Astyanax mexicanus: one gene and its partners. The protein of the gene in region 1 interacts with the protein of each later gene in a biochemical or structural test. Links are inferred from orthologs where the notes say so. Each region holds a gene or a part of one and is shown in the gene's direction. Other genes may lie near its edges. The genes, in order: atr, rpa1 and ATR-interacting protein.

What was found.
Region 2: the proteins of atr (region 1) and rpa1 form a complex in vitro, tested with the Homo sapiens proteins (2 studies listed by BioGRID, with this or other methods). The link is inferred for Astyanax mexicanus from reciprocal best matches to the Homo sapiens genes ATR and RPA1.
Region 3: the proteins of atr (region 1) and ATR-interacting protein form a complex in vitro, tested with the Homo sapiens proteins (4 studies listed by BioGRID and IntAct, with this or other methods). The link is inferred for Astyanax mexicanus from reciprocal best matches to the Homo sapiens genes ATR and ATRIP.

The regions. Positions count from the first base shown.
Region 1 is NC_064411.1:57,786,374-57,792,702, forward strand, and holds the start of atr (serine/threonine-protein kinase ATR), read left to right. Parts: upstream 1-3,029; 5' UTR 3,030-3,044; coding exon 3,045-3,109; intron 3,110-3,338; coding exon of another isoform or gene 3,339-3,411; intron 3,412-4,452; coding exon of another isoform or gene 4,453-4,534; exon of another isoform or gene 4,535-4,646; intron 4,647-4,751; coding exon of another isoform or gene 4,752-4,833; exon of another isoform or gene 4,834-4,886; intron 4,887-6,329. Other genes in the region: zgc:110269 (probable flap endonuclease 1 homolog), read right to left, coding at 277-337, 1,377-1,513, 1,602-1,663, 1,773-1,827, 1,906-2,008, 3,339-3,411, 4,453-4,534. UniProt on the Homo sapiens protein: Serine/threonine protein kinase which activates checkpoint signaling upon genotoxic stresses such as ionizing radiation (IR), ultraviolet light (UV), or DNA replication stalling, thereby acting as a DNA damage sensor.
Region 2 is NC_064425.1:14,363,127-14,369,455, forward strand, and holds the start of rpa1 (replication protein A 70 kDa DNA-binding subunit), read left to right. Parts: upstream 1-2,021; 5' UTR 2,022-2,140; coding exon 2,141-2,173; intron 2,174-3,536; coding exon 3,537-3,584; intron 3,585-4,047; coding exon 4,048-4,126; intron 4,127-6,307; coding exon 6,308-6,329. UniProt on the Homo sapiens protein: As part of the heterotrimeric replication protein A complex (RPA/RP-A), binds and stabilizes single-stranded DNA intermediates that form during DNA replication or upon DNA stress.
Region 3 is NC_064431.1:12,685,403-12,691,731, forward strand, and holds the start of ATR-interacting protein, read left to right. Parts: upstream 1-2,373; 5' UTR 2,374-2,661; intron 2,662-3,588; exon of another isoform or gene 3,589-3,879; intron 3,880-4,243; 5' UTR 4,244-4,257; coding exon 4,258-4,573; intron 4,574-5,577; coding exon 5,578-5,657; intron 5,658-5,796; coding exon 5,797-5,967; intron 5,968-6,329. Other genes in the region: si:dkey-42i9.4 (protein BTG1), read right to left, coding at 88-205. UniProt on the Homo sapiens protein: Required for checkpoint signaling after DNA damage. Required for ATR expression, possibly by stabilizing the protein.

The DNA.
Region 1 (6,329 bases):
TCGCCGCCCGGCTTCAGCTCTGCCTGTGGGCGGTCCCGAGCCGAGGTGGGTGGGGCCATGAATACTAATTCACGGGTTGATGTAGGCACGGTGCTTATTTATTGAATAGAGGTTGAGGAACAGTTTCATGTGTAGCATCATAAACAACTCTACTGTACTGTATTTCACAAAGAACACGAAAAAGTGGATTTTAGCGGAAGGAGACCTTTAAGATAATAATAAATAATACATACAATAAATACAACCCAAACACCATTACCACACACTGTGACTGACCTCTTCCTGTGTGAGCTGCAAAGTTTCCAGTAGTTTTGGTAAGGAGTATTCTGTGACCTCACTGAAAAATCAGAACAATTTTCAAATTATTTAATGTGAGTCAGAACAGACGCATGTTGCAAATGCATAACAATGGTTTAAAAGGTGTACTCCTCTTTTAATTTGACTTTTATAAGCTTTATTCTTAAATAAATACTGTTTACAATACAGGAAGTGAGGGAGAGAGCCGTCAGAGAGAGCTGACATATGGCAGGTTTAAGTTCATTTTTTAATCTACTGACATAAATTACACTAAACAAAGTATTCACCATTACTTAACACACTTTATCAGTTTACTCAGTTTATTACCTTTTCACAAACCTTCTGTTTTCAAGCTGAGAGATACAAAGCTGTACAGGACTAGCATAGTGAAGTTAGTCAAGGTAATGTAGCCTTAACGTATTCTTTCTCTATATACATTCCAAGTTATCTAGCTACATATGACTAGAGAAGCACTGCTGAGGAAAATGTATGATTAGACTAGCATTGCCTTAGTTGAATGTATGATTAGAATATCACTACTGAGGTAAATGTATGATTAGAATAGGAATGTTAAGGTAAATCTATGCTTAGAATCGCAATGCTGATGTAAATGTATGATTAGAATATCACTGCTGAGGTAAGTTTATGATTAGGATAGCACTGCTGATGTAAATGTATAATTAGAATAGCATTGCTGATGTAAATGTATAATTAGAATAGCATTGCTGATGTAAATGTATAATTAGAATAGCATTGCTAATGTAAATATATAATTAGAATAAATCTGCTGATGTAAATGTATGATTAGAATAGCGCTACTGAGGTAAATGTATGATTAAAATAGCATTGCTATTGTAAATTTATGATTGGAATAACACTGCTGAGGTAAATATATGATTAGAATAGCAGTGCTGATGTAAATGTTTGAATGGAATAGCACTGCTGAGGTAAATGTACGTTTAGAATAGTACTTCTGTACTGCTCTATGATTAGAATGGCACTGCTGATGTACGTTTATGATTATGATACCATAGATGGACAGATAGTAGACTGTATTAATGGTTGTACTGGTTGTTCACCTGTCTCTCTTGGCGTTGAGCTGGCGTAGAAGGGTGGTACCTCCGAACGCCAGCGTGTCCATGTCCTCAGAGGCCACAGCGTCCACCACCCCACCTCTGACCAGGTGAGCACACAGCGCCTCACCATCTGCAGGAGCCTGACCAATCAGAGAGCACAGAGACTATAATACAGTACTATAATACAGGAGAAATTTAGTTATAGATAAGAAATAAATGTGTAGTTACCATGATAAAGGGCATTCCCATCAGCTGCACGAGACGGAGGAATTCCTGGGTTTTGGTGGACACTAGAATTGAAAAAATATTTGAACACACAGAATCTATATATATATATATATATATATATATATATATACGTATATATATATATAAAATATCTGGTGTTGCTCTTCTTACCGGTGTTGGAGCGATAGGAGCTGTTCCAGCCGGCGCTCTGAGCTCTTTTCTCCAGCTAACACAACACAAACTACGCGTTACTGCAAAATTAAAAAGGACTTCTCGATTTAACTTTAAAAAATCTGATTCTCACCACAGCTCTCTTCTGATTGGGCGGCTTCCCGTCAAACACGAAGACCGGCTTGATGTCATGTTCAAGGAAAGTAAGGGTGCGGTAGAACAGGCCGAGTAGAGGACTGTGAAGAAAACTGAATTATTAGGACTAAAGTAAATGTGTATATACAGGGGTTGGACAATGAAACTGAAACACCTGTCATCATTTTAGTGTGGGATTTTAGGTTTCATGTCTAAATTGGAGCAGCCTGGTGTTCAATCTTCATTAATTGCACATTGCACCAGTAAGAGCAGAGTGTGAAGGTTCAATTAGCAGGGTAAGAGCACAGTTCTGCTCTAAATATTACAATGCACACAACATTATGGGTGACATACCAGAGTTCAAAAGAGGACAAATTGTTGGTGCACGTCTTGCTGGAGCATCTGTGACCAAGACAGCAAGTCTTTGTGATGCATCAAGAGCCACGGTATCCAGGGTAATGTCAGCATACCACCAAGAAGAACTAACCACATCCAACAGGATTAACTGTGGACGCTGTAAGAGGAAGCTGTCTGAAAGGGATGTTCGGGTGCTAACCCGGATTGTATCCAAAAAACATAAAACCACGTCTGATCAAATCACGCAGAATTCAATGTTCACCTCAACTCTCCTGTTTCCACCAGAACTGTCCGTCACCACAATCAATTACTGTGCTCTAAAACCAGGTGTTTCAGTTTCATTATCCAACTCCTGTATCTGTATAACTGCTTTAGAACCACTTATATTAATAATTAATAAATAATGTATGAATTTGTAGTATGTTAAGAATACATTCCATATTACAACCCAGAAACTTTCATTATTATTATTATTATGCTAAAAGAATTTGCCCCAGCTTTCTACGAGACTGTACAAGTAAAAATGACTATTATACATATTTAATGTAAAATCGATGTTCACAAATGTCAGAGATCAACATTGTTTCAATGCATTAGAGATGGAAAAATTAACGTTGATTCAACGTCCCTTTGATTTCTGGGTATGCTAGTAATTCATATATAAACCATGTATTAACATACCAGTCCTGCATACATTTTTATAAACCTTTCCTAACCTTTAAAAATGCTTTTATTGTGGTAATTTCTGCCTCTGCAGCTCCTCTCAGGTTCAACTGTGCTATGGGCGAGGATGATGTTTCCGCCCGTAAACCCATCCATCATCCAGGGGGGAGTCTAAAATCAGGGTGGGTTGTTACCCTTTAAATAACATAGAGAACATTTCTATTGATTTTAGGTCTTGCTGATCAATAAGCTTGGTCAGGTTTGGGCAGAAAAATATACCTTACCATCGGGTCAACCATCTTAACCACCCTATCCACCTTAACAACCATATCCACCTTAACCACCTGAACCTGTCCATGCTTTTCGCTCAGTCATGATATAATAACATTATGGGATTCAGGGTTCTCTCACCTGTATGGCAGACCGGGCACAGCTGAGCGAAACTGGTTCACAACAATGGAAGTATCGAGAGCGATAACCTTTCCTACAACACAAAAAACACATAAAAAACAGATATTAAATATATAGTTAAATAATGATCTACATCATATATCAGCATTTCAGCACAATCAGAACCCTCATTCAGAAATACTGGGAAATGTATTAACTAGATAGATTTAAAGAGTTAGAAATAGCTAAATAGCTATGCTGTTAATTCTGCCTTAACTGGGGCAGTTCTGATGAGTGCCAGTTTTATCATTATAATGTTTCGGATAAGAGAGCACTTAAAAATGATGATTTTCTTTGATTTTAACAAATTGAAAACCTCTGGAATATAATCAAGAGGAAGATGGATGATCACAAACCATCAAACCACCAAACTGAACTGCTTGAATTTTTGCACCAGGAGTAAAGCAGCATAAAGTTATCCAAAAGCAGTGTGTAAGACTGGTGGAGGAGAACATGATGCCAAGATGCATGAAAAAAAACCTGTGATTAAAAACCAGGGTTATTCCACCAAATATTGATTATTTCTGAACTCTTAAAACTTTATGAATATGAACTTGTTTTCTTTGCATTATTTGAGGTCTGAAAGCTCTGCATCTTTTTTGTTATTTCAGTAATTTCTCATTTTCTGTAAATAAATGCTCTAAATGAGAATATTTTTATTTGGAATTTGGGAGAAATGTTGTCTGTAGTTTATAGAATAAAACAACATTGTTCATTTTACTCAAACATAAACCTATAAATAGCAAAATCAGAGAAACTGATTTTATTGAGGGAATGAGAAAAGAGGAAAAACATGTTAAAACAGGACAAATCCAATCAGTGAAAACAATATTGTGAAAACAATATCCAGTATAAAAGCACAGAAATAATAGACGGAAAAATAAATGTATAAAACTAAATAAAATGACCCAACAAAAAAATTAGTATTTCATTTTTCTTCCTACTGCTTACTTCGTCCTTCGCATATTTTTTCTTTTTCCAACTTAATTATTATTATTTAGCTAGGCTAAGCTATGCTGAGCTATGCTATGCTAAGTGCAATCTGTCTGTTTTAACTGTATTTATCAGGTGTTACCGGTGTAATCTCCGATTTCCTTGTGAGAAATAGAACCAGGAGCTTCACTCCGAATTAAATCTGCCAGTTTAGTGATTCCCATTCTAAAAGATTCGATTTAAAATGCTATAATTAAATAAAGCTAAAAACAAAACAAAACAAACAAAGCTAAAGTCTACTTCATGTTCGAACTTCCTGTTCCACCTTAAATGTTTCAGCCAGCAGTGGCGTTCTGGCGCCAGCTGCTGCACCATTTAAGGTGGAACGGAGAGTTCCAAAAAAACATATATCATAATTTAACTGTATTTATCGGGTGTTACCGGTATAATCTCCGATTTCCTTGTGAGAAACAGAACTACGAGCTTCATTCCGAATTAAATCTGCCAGTTTTGTGATTCCCATTCTAAAAGATTCGATTTATTAAGTACATTGATAGCTAAGCGCTAAGACTTTTATTTTAAGACCTTTATTTTGTCAGGAAGCCGCAGCGCAGCCTCCCGTTCACCCCGTTTCCAGGGCAACTGCTCGTTTGCTCATTAACCCGTTGCTTCCCGGTATGAATTCAGTTAAGCGGTCCCAGTTCTGATGTTCTGATTGGTGTTTTGCTGGAGTTTAACTTTAAATATAACTTTACAGCAATTTTATTGTGGCTTAGAATATATATATATATATATATATATATATATATATATATATATATATATATATATATATATATATATATATATTCAATAACATATATATATATATATATATATATATATTATTGTGTAGAGTTCTGAGCCACATATATGTATGTGGCTCAGAACTCTACACAATTCTACATTTGGAAGAAAAAATAAATATATATATCATATTAAAGGGTATATATTAAGGGGACACTCTTGCTCTTCTATCCTTTCCTGGGACGGTCCTGATGAGTACCAGTTTCACCATTTTACCGATTTTTATGTGTTTTTTTTTGCGATGACTGCACTTGAGGATACTTTCTTGGAAAATTCTTGAAATTCTTTTTTTCGGATTGACTGACCTTCACTGTTCTTTATTTAGTTGAGTAGTTGTTGCTTCTCATAATCTGGATTAGAACATTACTGAAATATTCACTATTCACTGTATACCTGTAACTCTACCTCTTCACTACTTTACTTTAACTGATGCTCTCAAACACTTTATTAAGAGACAAGAAATTCAAGTAATTAACTTTGATGAGTTCAGCACAGCTGTTAACTGAAAGTCTAAATTCCAGGAGACTCTACCTCATAAAACTGACTGAGAAAATCCAGCAGAGATGTTCAAAACTCATCATCTAAACAAGAGGAGATACTTTTTTTTAGTTAAGTAAGCTTTTAATAGTTTAATAAATAATTGCATATGTTGTTTCTTCATAGTTTTCATTAATACTCATTAAAGGTGCGCCCAAACTTTTGTATATCATTACTTAGCTAACTAAATTGGGTTAATCAATGATTTAGCACTGTTTAATTGTTTTAAACAATTGTATTTAAGTCATTCTTTCTAGAGTTAAAATAAAGCTATAAAAAGAAAGCAAATGCTCAAGTCATGTTGGAAATCTCTGTTTAAAAAAATTCCAGGTGACTCTACCTCATAAAGATAAAGCTTAATTCTGTATTTATATGTTTTAATAATGATAATCTAAAGTATAAAACATATTCTGGTTTGTTTAACAGTTTTAAGTTCACTAAATAATTCAGCATGTGTTCCTGTATAACTTTACTAAATAGGATTCAATGAGACTTTATTCTCATTTACATCACATGTAAAGATTAAATATAATAGTATAATAGAATAAAATATAATAGAATAAAATAAAATAGAATAAAATAGGTAGTTTTTCTTCATAGTTTGAATGAGTTTAGTAATAATCTACAATGCAGAAC
Region 2 (6,329 bases), on another chromosome or scaffold:
AAAGCCTAATGTTTCATGATTAAAGAAAAGGGTTTTAAAGAATTAAGCGTTTCTTGCTGTATTTTTACAAAGTTGCAGGGCCAATAAGCTATACTTTAGTATCTTGCTTAAAACTTTTAGACTATAGACACAAGAAACTCACCTACAATTGAAGTTTGGATCGAATTTGCAAAACTCTGATCAGGTATCATGCATTTTCTTGCTGTCCACGTGATCAAAAATCTGTCTGCATACAATCTAGATATGCCAAAAACTGTATTTGGACTGGCAATCTGATTCTAGCCAATTAGCTTTAGGTTTTATACCAGTTTACACGCCTAGTGTACACTTTATTGTACAGTGTGATATAAAGGTGGTATTCATTTAGACATTTAGATCAAACATCACATGTTTCAGGCTTATACTTTTAGTAAAAATCTGTTTTACAGTCCTAATATTAGCAGTTGCTTTTGATTTCTAAATAAAGTTCACCTGAGTAGACATTTTTTTGTTTCATTTCTGCAATAAGTAATGCAGTGCAATTAATATAAAACAACAGTTTGTGCCATGGTAATTGAGATATTATTCTTTGATTGTGGTGGTTTGTGGTTCATATTTTTTTTATTTTTCCAACAAACTATTGTTTTTACAAATCATATACAGACATCCCACCCTGAAAAAACTAATTTCAGGGGGGGAGGGGGGGGGGTGTAGGTCCTTCAAATCTGTACTTAAAATATAAAATATAACATAATTTCAATGAAGTGCACAGAGTACAGTATCTCCTTAACACTTAGCCAGCTAGTTGTTAAACGAGTTAATGAACGAGTAAATTAAAAATGTAGGAGACTCCCTGAACTTCCGCGACAGGTGGGAACTTTTCTTATAGTGTACCTACAACAACTAAATTTGCTGTTACTGAGCCCAGAGAGTATCATGGTAAAACAATTCTATTGTTACAAATAAAAAAATGATAGATGCTGAAAAATGTTGCCTTACTTTTTTATAAATTGTTTCCTCAATCTTCAAAAAAGTTTTCTTAATTGAAATAATTGTTCTGTCTGTTTAACTAAAGCGTATGAAGCATATGATGGCGTAAAAAAATAAAGAGTTGATTTCGAGAATAAAGTCATAATATTTTAAGATTAAAGTTGTATTGCAATCAGGAAAGTTGCATTATTATGATCGAAGAGTTTGCAAATCGATATAGTAATCTCCTCGTGTTAAAATAAATTACTTTATCCTCAATAGTTTATTCTCAAAATATTTTTTTAAAATCTCGAAATATTATGAGTTTAATCACGAAATATTACAAGTTTATTCTAGAAATATTCTGAATTTATTTGAAATATTACAACTTTATCTGCAAAATGTTACAAGTTTATTCTAAATATTACGAGTTTATTTTTTTAAATAATAAGTTTATTGTAGAAGTATGAGTTTATTTTCAAAATATAAGCTTATTCGTATATTACTACTTTATTTGCAAAATATTGAGTTTATTTTTTAAATATAAGTTTATTCTTGAAATATTATGTGTTCATTTTCAAAATAGTACGCCTTTATTCTCTTAATATTACTACTTTAAGTGCAAAATATTACAAACTTATTTTTTGAAAAATAAGTTTATTCTAGAAGTATGAATTTTACTACTTTATTTGCGAAATATTGCGACTTTATTTGCGAAATGTTGCAAGTTTATTCTTGTAATATTATTAATATTTTTGAAGTCCGTTTTTTTTATTATTTTAAGAGTGGCTTTAAAACGCTGTCGTAAAAGGCTTCCTTTAAAGTGAGTAAAAAATAATAATAAAAAAGGACGAATGGTTTAATTTTTATTAGCTATTATTTTTATGATGTAAATATATTTATTTATTTTAGAATAAAAGTCCTAAGCATTTTAGCTAACCCTAAAATACCCTAAATAAGAGAGAAACTATATAGTTATATGTGTTAAAAACTCTGTATACATGCTAGTCTCTGTAGTCACTGGGGGGGAAAAGACCTCCTCCTTCGACCCTTCAGCGGAAGTGATGCAAGAAGCCGGAGCGCGCGCTTACACTGAAAGTTGGCGCCACGACTCAGAACAACAACACGGAGCGGGAGCGGAGCGGCTGAGAATTTATATTAAACCCCGATATTTCTCCTCCAGCTCGCAGCCATGACTGTTACACTGTCAGAAGGAGCTATAGAGGTGTGTACCGGGTAAACGAGAGGGGTAAAAGCGTAGTGTGAGAGCTGTTAAATAAGAAGGCCGAGAGCAGCGCAGAGTCAGCCTGGCTAAATAACTAACGCTAAGTAGTTCTAGCAGCTCAGTAACGGCAACTGGAGCTAAAGCTAAAGCTAACAGGCGACCTAACTTAGTGATTTAGAGAAATCTGTGTCTCAGTAAAGTAGAGAATGCTGAAAAAAATCTGCTCTAAAGAGTACATGTTATGATGGGATATGTAGAAAAATCTTTCCGTACGCCAACGATTTTTATTTGGATTGTCTATTCCACCTTAAACGGTGTCCAGGCGCTGCACAGTTTAAGGTGGAACGGTTCTGTTGTCATTCAAACGGCGTGGCCTTTTCGGTTAAATCACCGTTTTCCCTTCGTAAATACAATTAAGCTAGTTTAGCTAATCCAAACTTTTAACTATTCAATTATTCAGATCTAGGAGGCGCGTGTGCGCTGGGAAATCACCGAACTGCAAACCTGTCGTCCTAAAGAAAAAGGGGTTCTAATGCTGTCCATACACTAAGTTACACGACGTTGAAAAAAAAACTCTTAAAAAAAAAAAAGACTTTTAACAGACTAAAATCTGACACCCTCTCACATCTAAAGACAAGACGTTTTAATTACAGGCTCAGATTATTATCTGAGAATATTTCCCATCATGCTTCTGGTGGAGTTTACATACAATACTTGTGACATTAAGCTACACATAATGTGTAAGTTAAATCAGTACTCTGATTTGTCATCTCGTGATTTTATTTCGACTCTGGAAATGTGTCTGCGACATTGAAATCACTTGAAAATCGTTAGGTGTAAGGTCAACATAAGAAGAAAATGCTTTTCTCTGAACGTGAACTCGTGGTTTCTCCCTGTTATTGTAATGTGTGACTTATAGTTGTTGTTTATTTGTCTGTGTAAGAAAAATATTGGTTTTCTGATCATAACAAAGTTCTTATTATTTCCAACAAAGATTTATTTGCAGCCGTGAACGTGTAGATTTTGCAACACTTAGATTTTTTCACCCCTTAAAAAAAAAAAAACTTGTTCCATCAAATGTTTTAAATGTACTTTTTAGCATCTTATGTGCAATTACTATTTCGCACCAAAAACCTATAGACTGTCACTAAGTTAAATCAATCTGGACAAACTCCATAGAATGCCTTAGAAATATTTTCTTTGGGTGGACTTCTTTGTATTTTAGATGTTTTTTTAATGGATTTTAAAAACTGTCAGTTGAAGGAAACTCAGCTCAGAAAGACAATTTTTTAGAAATTTCATTAGACTTTATTTTGTGTATTTGTATGTATTTTTCTTAACTGTGTGTGTTCTATCATTTCAGCTCCTGATCAAAGGTAGTGAGGTTTCAAACCCAGTGCTTCAATGTGTTGTAAGTTCTTCTGTCAGTTGCATGTTTTTTTTCTGCTGGTGTTTTTTTTTTTTTTTACGAGAGTGTTAGATGTTTTCACTTGTTACTTCTCTTGATTTTAAGGAAAAATTATGGCCTGTCAATCTTATTGTAAGCCAAGTTTGTTTTACTGAAAAAATATAATAGAATGCAGTAGCGTTCTTTTACAGACCATCAGCATTTAAATATAACATTTATAAAACAAAATAAAACTGATGATGTGACAGGCATAAATCATTCTCAGATGACATCAAAACAGGTTTAGTAGGTATCCAAATATAAATGTTTTTGGCTTATGAAAGGATTCAATATAAACCTGTTTTATCATTAGTTAAATATTAAATTTAGCCTGCACAAATATGAGAAATGAATCAAATTTTAGAGCTTTTTTGGTTTGCAGCCTTATTCTCATGTATGTGAAATAAAAATTGTTTTTTCTCTGCAGAATATCCGAAAGATTGATGGAGGCAGTGGACCAGTCCGCTTTCGCCTCATGATGAGTGATGGCCTTCATACTATGTCCTGTAAGTGTGTGTTTGTGTGTTGGAGGGGATCTATTTAACCTTATACATGAAACCAAAGCATATGTATATAGATTTTTGCTTCCTCATTTGGATCTAAAGTTCTAGGTAAAGGTATCATATTGTATCTTAATGGCATCTCTCTGAAGAACTCTGTTTTCCTTAGAGCTTGCATAGTTTATCCAGTAATTCACTAAACTGTTACATAATAAAGTGCTGTGATTTTTATATCCATTGCTTATGCTTCTCATATCTGAATTTAATTGGTGTTTGTTGAGTATCCTTGTGAGTATCTCTGGGTATTTTCAAAACATAATGAGCCTAACATTGAAGAGGTACTTCACCATCAAAACAATTTTCTTGACTGCCTGAGTTTTTAAAATGACTCAGTGGCTGTTTCAATCATGACAATTAAATGAAAATGTTGTCTTACAATTGCACTATATAATGTTTAGAATAAATGTAAATAAGGATACAAAAACAGATCATATATTTCAAACAGTTATTGGTATGCTGGTTAGATTAATACAACTTAAGTTTGGTGCTCAACTGACTTCTCTGTGAACACCCTGACACTGTATGGATTTGTTGACTTCCTCCGCTTGCAAGTTAAACCCCTTTGACAAATGGAAGAAATGGTTGATATATGGTTATTCATTGAAGAGGGTATTTTTTTTTCTTGAAAAATAGACATGGGTATTTTTAAAAACTCGTATTACCCTTCTTCCATTAAAAAAAACAAAACATTTTTGTCCACACAGAGACTAATATGCTTGCATTAGCATACTAGATCTGTATGAGGTAATAGAAACTCAAGTAAGATATCAAAGCACTGCAGAGAAAATTACTCCCTAGGCAGTGTATGACAATACAGTCACAAAATTACTTGGCACTAGAATGGCGTATCATAGGTGATATCGCCAACATTTTTGAATATCGTAAACTATATTATATCCTGAAATATGGTGCCATATCATCCACCCCTAATTATCACATCAGGGTACTACTTTCTAGCTGGTTTTAGTAAAAAGAAAAATGTACACTGTTCTCATTTTCCATTATTTATCTACTAGAGACAGATTATATCTGTCCAGTATCATTTATTTTACTTTAATCCTGGATTTATGGAGATATTTGCAGTGCATTATTAGATTTATGACATTCTGGATCACTGATTTATGTTACAAATCAGATAAAATGTTCTATCTTTTAATATCTTAGTAAGGGGTGTGCGATATCAGCTCATATGCACTAATAAAAAACATCATAATTTCATTTTGTTGCAGTAGTGTGCTCTTAAAATATGTTTTCTTAATTCCATGAAATATACCATGAAAATACCATGAAATATCGCACTGTTATTTTAGCCCCATATCGTCCACCCCTAGTTCTGACATTTAAAAAAAAAAAAAAAAAACTAAGCCTCATTTTCAAAAAAAAGCTAAATTTGTTGTTAAATTTGTTAAATTAGTTGCCAGTAATGGTGTTTATATGTAGTCAAAATTCTCTTTTAAAGGAAAATAAAAATCCAGATATGTGATCAGGGTCACTTGTATTACATATGTTCCCAGCTTTAAGACATGCCTATGTTCAATTAATTCAATTTAATTCAGGTTTATTTATATAGCGCTTTTTACAACAAAAGTTATCACAAAGCAGCTTTACAGAGAAAACTGGTCCAAACTGGCCCCTTATGTGCGAGCACCACAGTAATGCCAATAATTGTGACATAAACCTTTTAATGTAAGGGAGTAGTTTATGTAAAAAAGACCTGGATGGTATTAGCAGTATTTTTAGGACAGCAACATGTGTTGTGCATGGTGCTGCAGAGATCAATGTATCAGGAGGTAGTAGGGCTGCTGTGGAGTGATTGGGCTTGAAGTGATCAAAGAGTAGAGAGAGAACCCCATGAAAACAATACCCTTTCCTGCTTTTAATTTACTGAGATGTAAAAGTGTTGATGGCACGAAACCTTATGAATAAGTTATAGAGCAATTTTCTTGTGCATTAAGAAGCACTGTTGTGGTGCATTTAAATTGCCTCTACCCCCAGACCCAGCCAGGCTGAAGAGATAACATAGGAATGTTACCAATTTTCATATATTCATGAAAAAAAAGCTGTGCAGGTGTTCTATTCTTTTTGTTTTCTTACTTGATATCTCTAATATTTCTCTGTTGTTTGCAGCCTTCATGCTCTCCACACAGCT
Region 3 (6,329 bases), on another chromosome or scaffold:
CATATTCATTTATAGACAAAAAGAACTGCTTAGGGAGACTATAAAGATTATTAGCAGTGTTTTAACTGTAAATACTGTGTGTTTTACCTCCTAAAGCTTCCTCTAGAGACAGGCTGAAGTGGTGCAGCTGCTCCTCTGAGAGAAGCCCAGTCCCTCTCAGCAGTGTGCTAATGAAGTTCACAGCCGTGGAAACCTCGGTTTTCATGGTGAAATATTATTTCTCAAACTGTAAAACGATAAGAACAGGGGTTAGGTGTGAATAAGAGAGTTATTAGAGCAGGTATCAGGGCTAAGAGAGGGAAAGCTGGGTTCAGGGATCAGGCCTGCAGTACTGCTGTTGCTGCTGCTGGCAGATTTTCCTTTGTTCAAAACACGAAGAGAAAACGGCGCTAAAACAGCACTTACAGATTCCCGCTCATCCAGCTGCGCTGTAGAGAAGCTCCTGCTTTTCCCGGTGTAACCCTTTGACCGCTAAAACCACGGAAAAGTGCAAATTATCGACTTTTTATCGATCTAAAACTTCTCCCCGTCCCTCCACAGACCAACTGCCACACTGCTGGAGCTGCTCAGCTGGTAAACACCGCGAGCGCTACAGCAGCGCCTCCACCAATCAGCTGCCGCCGAAGCCAACCGCGTCACAAACACGGTGTATTTACACACAGCTCTCTCATTCATTGACTATTACCTGCATAATAATAATAATAATAATAATAATAATAATAATAATAATAATAATAATAATAATAATAATAATAATAATAATAATAATAATGAACAACGCAGGACAAACCAAAATGTATTATGTATTTCTTAACACGTTATATAAGCTCATTTCTTTTTAAAAAAGTGATTTATTCTCAGTTATGTGTAATTTCTGTATGAGGTGTTTCATTAAATCACTAAATGATGACATTGTTGTGATTGTTCCCCATTATTTTCCCTAGTATTATCAAGGCCAAACACTGATAATTTATAAATAAAACAAATGGCCAAAATCAAAACTGCTGTAAAAAAAAAAAATAGACTGTAAAAATATGTATATGTGCACATCTGTCTCATCTGTCTATTTAGGTAAATGGGCATCCATTAACATTAAAACATTAAAAATTAAAGACCAGTGACAGCTTTGAACAGTTTGTTTTTAACAGTTTTGTTAATTTTGCTTAACTATATTGCCCCTGATGAAGCCCCTAATATGTTGTATTGTGTATCATCTCATAAAAATAGTGAATATATAGAGAATTTTTTACTGAATTGTATTAATTGTCCCCTCAACTAAACAAAACGAACTAGTTTTTTTTAGAGCCATTAAAACCCATTGCATTAAGCTCTTTATGTGCTACTCTTCTCTAGCTAATCTGAAGACCACATGGAGTTTGGCGGTCTATAGTGGCTGATTCTGCAGAAAATCTGCTGGCCCTGTTCTGTTATTTTATGTTGACAGAGTGAGCTGCTGTTTCCAGTCGCTTCCACTTTATTATAACACTGACAGTTGACTGTGGAATATTTAGTCGTGAGGAAATTTTATGACTGCGCTTGTTGCAGAGGTGACATCATATGGATGCCTAAAATGCCTATGGATGCTTGGTGTATACACCTGCGGCCATGGAAATGATTGAAACATGAGTTCATTGATTTGCATGGGTGAGTGAATTGACAACAAGGTTGTGGGTTTGATACCTGTGTTTTGCAGGCCACTACTGTTGGGCCCTTGAGGAAAGTCCTTAACCCTCATTGTTTCCAAGGTGCCGCAGCAATGACTGCCCACGTGTGTTGTCACAAAACTACTATGCATGTTTCTGAGTTTCTCTGTGGTCAGTGTACCATTTCTAAGTTAAAATGTTCGGGCTAAATCAGAAAACAGATAATTGGGTGTAAAACTTCATTATTTCTTTAAGTGTAGAAGAAATGGGTTTTGTCCATTTCCCAATTTTCTTTAATTTGTTTCTTCTTCTTGTGCACCTGCAGAATCAGATGTATGTATCTGTAATCAGGTAAAATGTATATTTTCTTTATTTTCTTGCAACAAAAGTAATTTGAGTTATATCATTACATTTGATACAAGATGTAAAAATGGAAAAATCTTAAAATTGAGAAAATATCAAATTCTCCTAAAAAATTTGTAAAATTGTTTCCGAAACACAAAAAATGCTTGAAAATTAAATAATAGATACATATTTTTCTTTACTATTTTAAATAGAAAAAAATAAAAAATATATTTGAGATTTACACACACATTTCGAGTATTTAACTTCAAATGGTCAGAAAATTAAACTGATAATAAATGTTATACTGACCCTCCGTGCACTGACCAATTAGATTAGCCGATTTTCCTGCATCATTGCTGGAGACTGCGGAATTGACCAATCAACAGCGTCCATGCTTGACTGCGCTCGAAACAAGCGGCGCCTTCTCCCTCAGAGATATTCATCCGCTGAAGTTCAGCTAGTTTTTCTGAACCTGCTGCTTTAGAGAGCTTTCAGCCGTTGTCCAGTATGGCCGGTCCGAACCCGGCTTTCTGTTATAAACTACATCTGCAGATGTGAACCCAGACTCGCGCAGTAAAATGCTGGTTTTACTAGAGCTGGAGTTAGCCGCTGCTGTACTCTCACTGTTAGCTACAGGCTAACCCGCTCCGAATTAACCTGCGCCTCTGTCTCAGTAAGTAACTAATACACATTACACTGAACTTATCTAACAGCTTTATTATACAGTATTTTATCTCCTCTTACTCCTGTTAAACTTGGCGACTCTCCGCGCTGCTTTCTGTCTGTGAGCTTAGCTAGGTCAGTTAGCGTTAGCTAGCATAGCATGTGTTATGAGTCCCACAAAAAGACAATAGTATCAATTTATTCTCCTTTCCTTAACTGGAGATATTAGAGATATTAGAGAGAGGTTAACATATTTAATAAGGTTTGGTAGTTAACCATTATAAAATCACCTTTGACCCTTTTTTATCTGAAATTTGTTGAAACTTCTCAGTCCACCTTAAAAAGTGCAGCAGTTTTATTTAGGCACATGTATTTTTTTAAGGTGGAATGGACAGTTGGACTGTGAATAGGACTGAATATAGCTTAACCAATGCAAGTAAATGTTTGATGGGCTTATGCATTTACTTTTACAGTTTTTATGTGCCATTATTGTAAATAAGAACTATACGTTTTTAATGACACGCCAGGTGAAATTAAAGGTTTAATAAAAAAAAAACAAAAAAACAAGAAATCACTTACATATTTGTTTAAACTAACATCTAGGCAGTTGAAACAAATTAAATAACTAATTAAATAACTAGTAATGTCAAAATACTTCAAATACTTTGAACACAGTGAAGTCTTATTCATATTTTGCATACTGTGATGCAGTTAAGCAGGACAAATTTACTGTAGTACTGACAATATCTACATTAAATAAAAAAAAGTGTATTGTGATGTAATGCCTCACAATAACAATATACACTGCTCAAAAATAAAGGAAACACTAAGATAACACATCCTAGATCTCAATTAATGAAATATTTCAGTTGAAAATCTTTTCATCATATGGATCTCATCCCTGTACCTAATGGCAGTCTGGGTACCTCTGGCTAGCTGTGCGGCCTTCCAAAAAAATTCCTCCCCACGCCATTACTGACCCACTGCCAAACCAGTCATGCTGGAGGATGATGCAGCAGCAGAACATTCTCCATGGCATCTCAAGAGCCAATAACAAATCTGTTAATCTTGGCGTTTTCTGGCAAATGCCAGTCACCCCGCATATTCTGGTATCTGCTCCATGCTCTGGACACTGTGCTGACAGACACAGCAAACCTTCTTTTAACAGCTCGCGTTGTTGTGCCATCCTACATGAGCTGCACTACCTGAGCAAACTACTTCCTCTAGGGTGAGCGCACTAACAAAAATGCAAAAATGACCAAAACATCACCCAGAAAGCATGAGAACAGAGAAAAGGTGTGTAGTTGCCACCTTCAGAACCACTACTTTATAGAGGTTGTCTTACTAATTGCTTCTTATTTCTACCTGTTGTCTGTTATATTTGCACAACAGCAAGTGAATTTGATTGTTTTCTCAATGGTTGATTTTAAGTTAGACTGTTCTGTTTTACTGTTTCCTTTATTTTTGGAGCAGCGTCTATATTGCCACATATTAGCTGTTTGCTTGATATTTGCAAAATCTTTTTGGATATTTGACAGACCTCTATTGCTTTAAAATGTACTACATTCAACATGTTCTTTCAATTTCCACAGAAGCTTCCAATGACATGGAGTATCCTCCAAGCAAACGCCTCAGAGGCCCACAGAACACAGCTCCAGTGGAGCAGGACCCCTTTGGGGATGATGAGGACTTTACACAGGATAACCTGGAAGAGATTGATATTATAGCATCGCAGGCTATTACAGGAGATGGTCACCTTACAAGTACGAAAAGGACATTTGCATCCATTTCATCACATCCAGCAGAGCAGAGCAAAGCCCCCGTAAAGCAGGGCAGAAAGACTTTTGCCATCGGGAGCAGCAGCAGCTCAAGCACCAGCAGCATGTATAACAATATGGAGCGCCAGCGCCATGATTCATTCGGTTAGTATAAAAAACACAGAAATCCAGTATGCACATACTGTATTCACCATATCTCCAAATGTTAGACACCTGGTTACCCAGTGTTTCTACTGAAATCAAGAGAAATAAAAGGTAGATTGTCCCCCTTTGCTGCATCAACAGACTCTGCTTTGCTAGGAAAGAAGTACATTTCTGTGAGAAATGTATTGCATTTACCATCACAAGAATATCAGTAAACCATATCTATTACTTTGGAAAATGCTGGATCACAGCCCAGGGGTGTGTGCATGTGTGTGTGGAAGGGTTTTACAGTGTTAGGAAAAAGTTTGGTAAGCATTTTAAAGATTTTGGACTGACATCACTGTGGGCAAGCCCACAAAGCACCTGAGCACACTTTTTTAAAATTAATTACTTATTCATTTCTTAATTTTTTTATGTGTATGTGTAGAAATAATACAACTTTATAAAAACACTTATGCGACTGTAGAACCTATATCATTACTTATTGTGAACAATTTAAATAGATAAATAAAATAAAATGAAATAAAACATATAACAGAAGGCTTTTTATTTTTATTTCCACTTTTATTTGATTGGCAAATATTTCACATAATGTAACAAATGTAGTATTTTCTCAGCAATGAACAGAAGTTTAAACATCCACATTTAACAGGATGACCATCTATTTGCTGACTGTTTGCAGCAGCTGTAATTGGCTAGGCAGTGTTAGGGGAGTTGAAAATGAGAATGTGATTGGCTCAGTTTTTCAGTATTCAGCATCCTATTAAACGGGATCAGCTGTTTAATTTACAAAATTACTGCTCATTTTCTAAGATAACAAATGTGCAAAATTAATGTCAGCCGAAATTATGATGATGTAATTGTCATAATAGGCCATACGTTTTTTTTTCGTTTGTTTGTTTTTGTTTTTTGTGCATGGATGCCCTGATCACTATGGTCACAGTATTATAAATACTGTTGTAATAACATACTCCAGAATACTCAGCGTTTTCTTTGTTTTGAAGGAAATGGTCAGTTGTCTAAAGACAGAGATGAGCTGGATTACAGCAGACTGGAGGCTCAACAAGCAGAGTTAAAGAGAAAGGTATTTGAACATTAATCGATGCCATTGTGATTAATATACATAATTGATTGAAAGCCTCTGTGTGTACTTTTTGGCATAATTTATGTACTTTTATAAATCAGTACCTATTGTGTGTGTTTAATTGTTGTGTTTAATGCAGCTAAAGGAGGTGGAGGACCAGATCTTAATGAAGAATGGTGAGATTAGGGTCTTGCGAGACTCGCTTAAACTGGCTAATCAGGAGAAGGAGCAGCAGAGACAGGCTAATGTTGCGTTGGAAAGGGAAAGAGCCAATGTGCAGAGTGAGAAAGAGAAGGAACTTTCCAAGAAGGTAAATAATTTTTTTTAGTTTTTGATCATTGATTATGATTTTTAATTATAAGTGAACAAATATCTTGGATCACCCATGCATAATTTGATTAAGGAAGAACATCAGAGTTTTTCAGCAATCCAATCAGTGCATTTACATGAATGTGGGTAATCGGATATACAGAGCCGTTTCAAGGCATTTGAAGGCCCCAAAATGTCATCACACCATTTGTACTTTCTCTCCTTTTTTCTGGCTTCCTGATGGATAACTCTGCCTCATGATTTCCGAAGTTTCATAAATTGCCGGCTGCAGGAATCTCAAACCTGGCTGGCTACTGTCAGGAACTAGTGGGAGGGGCTCCCGTGATAGGTCCGTTAGCAGTG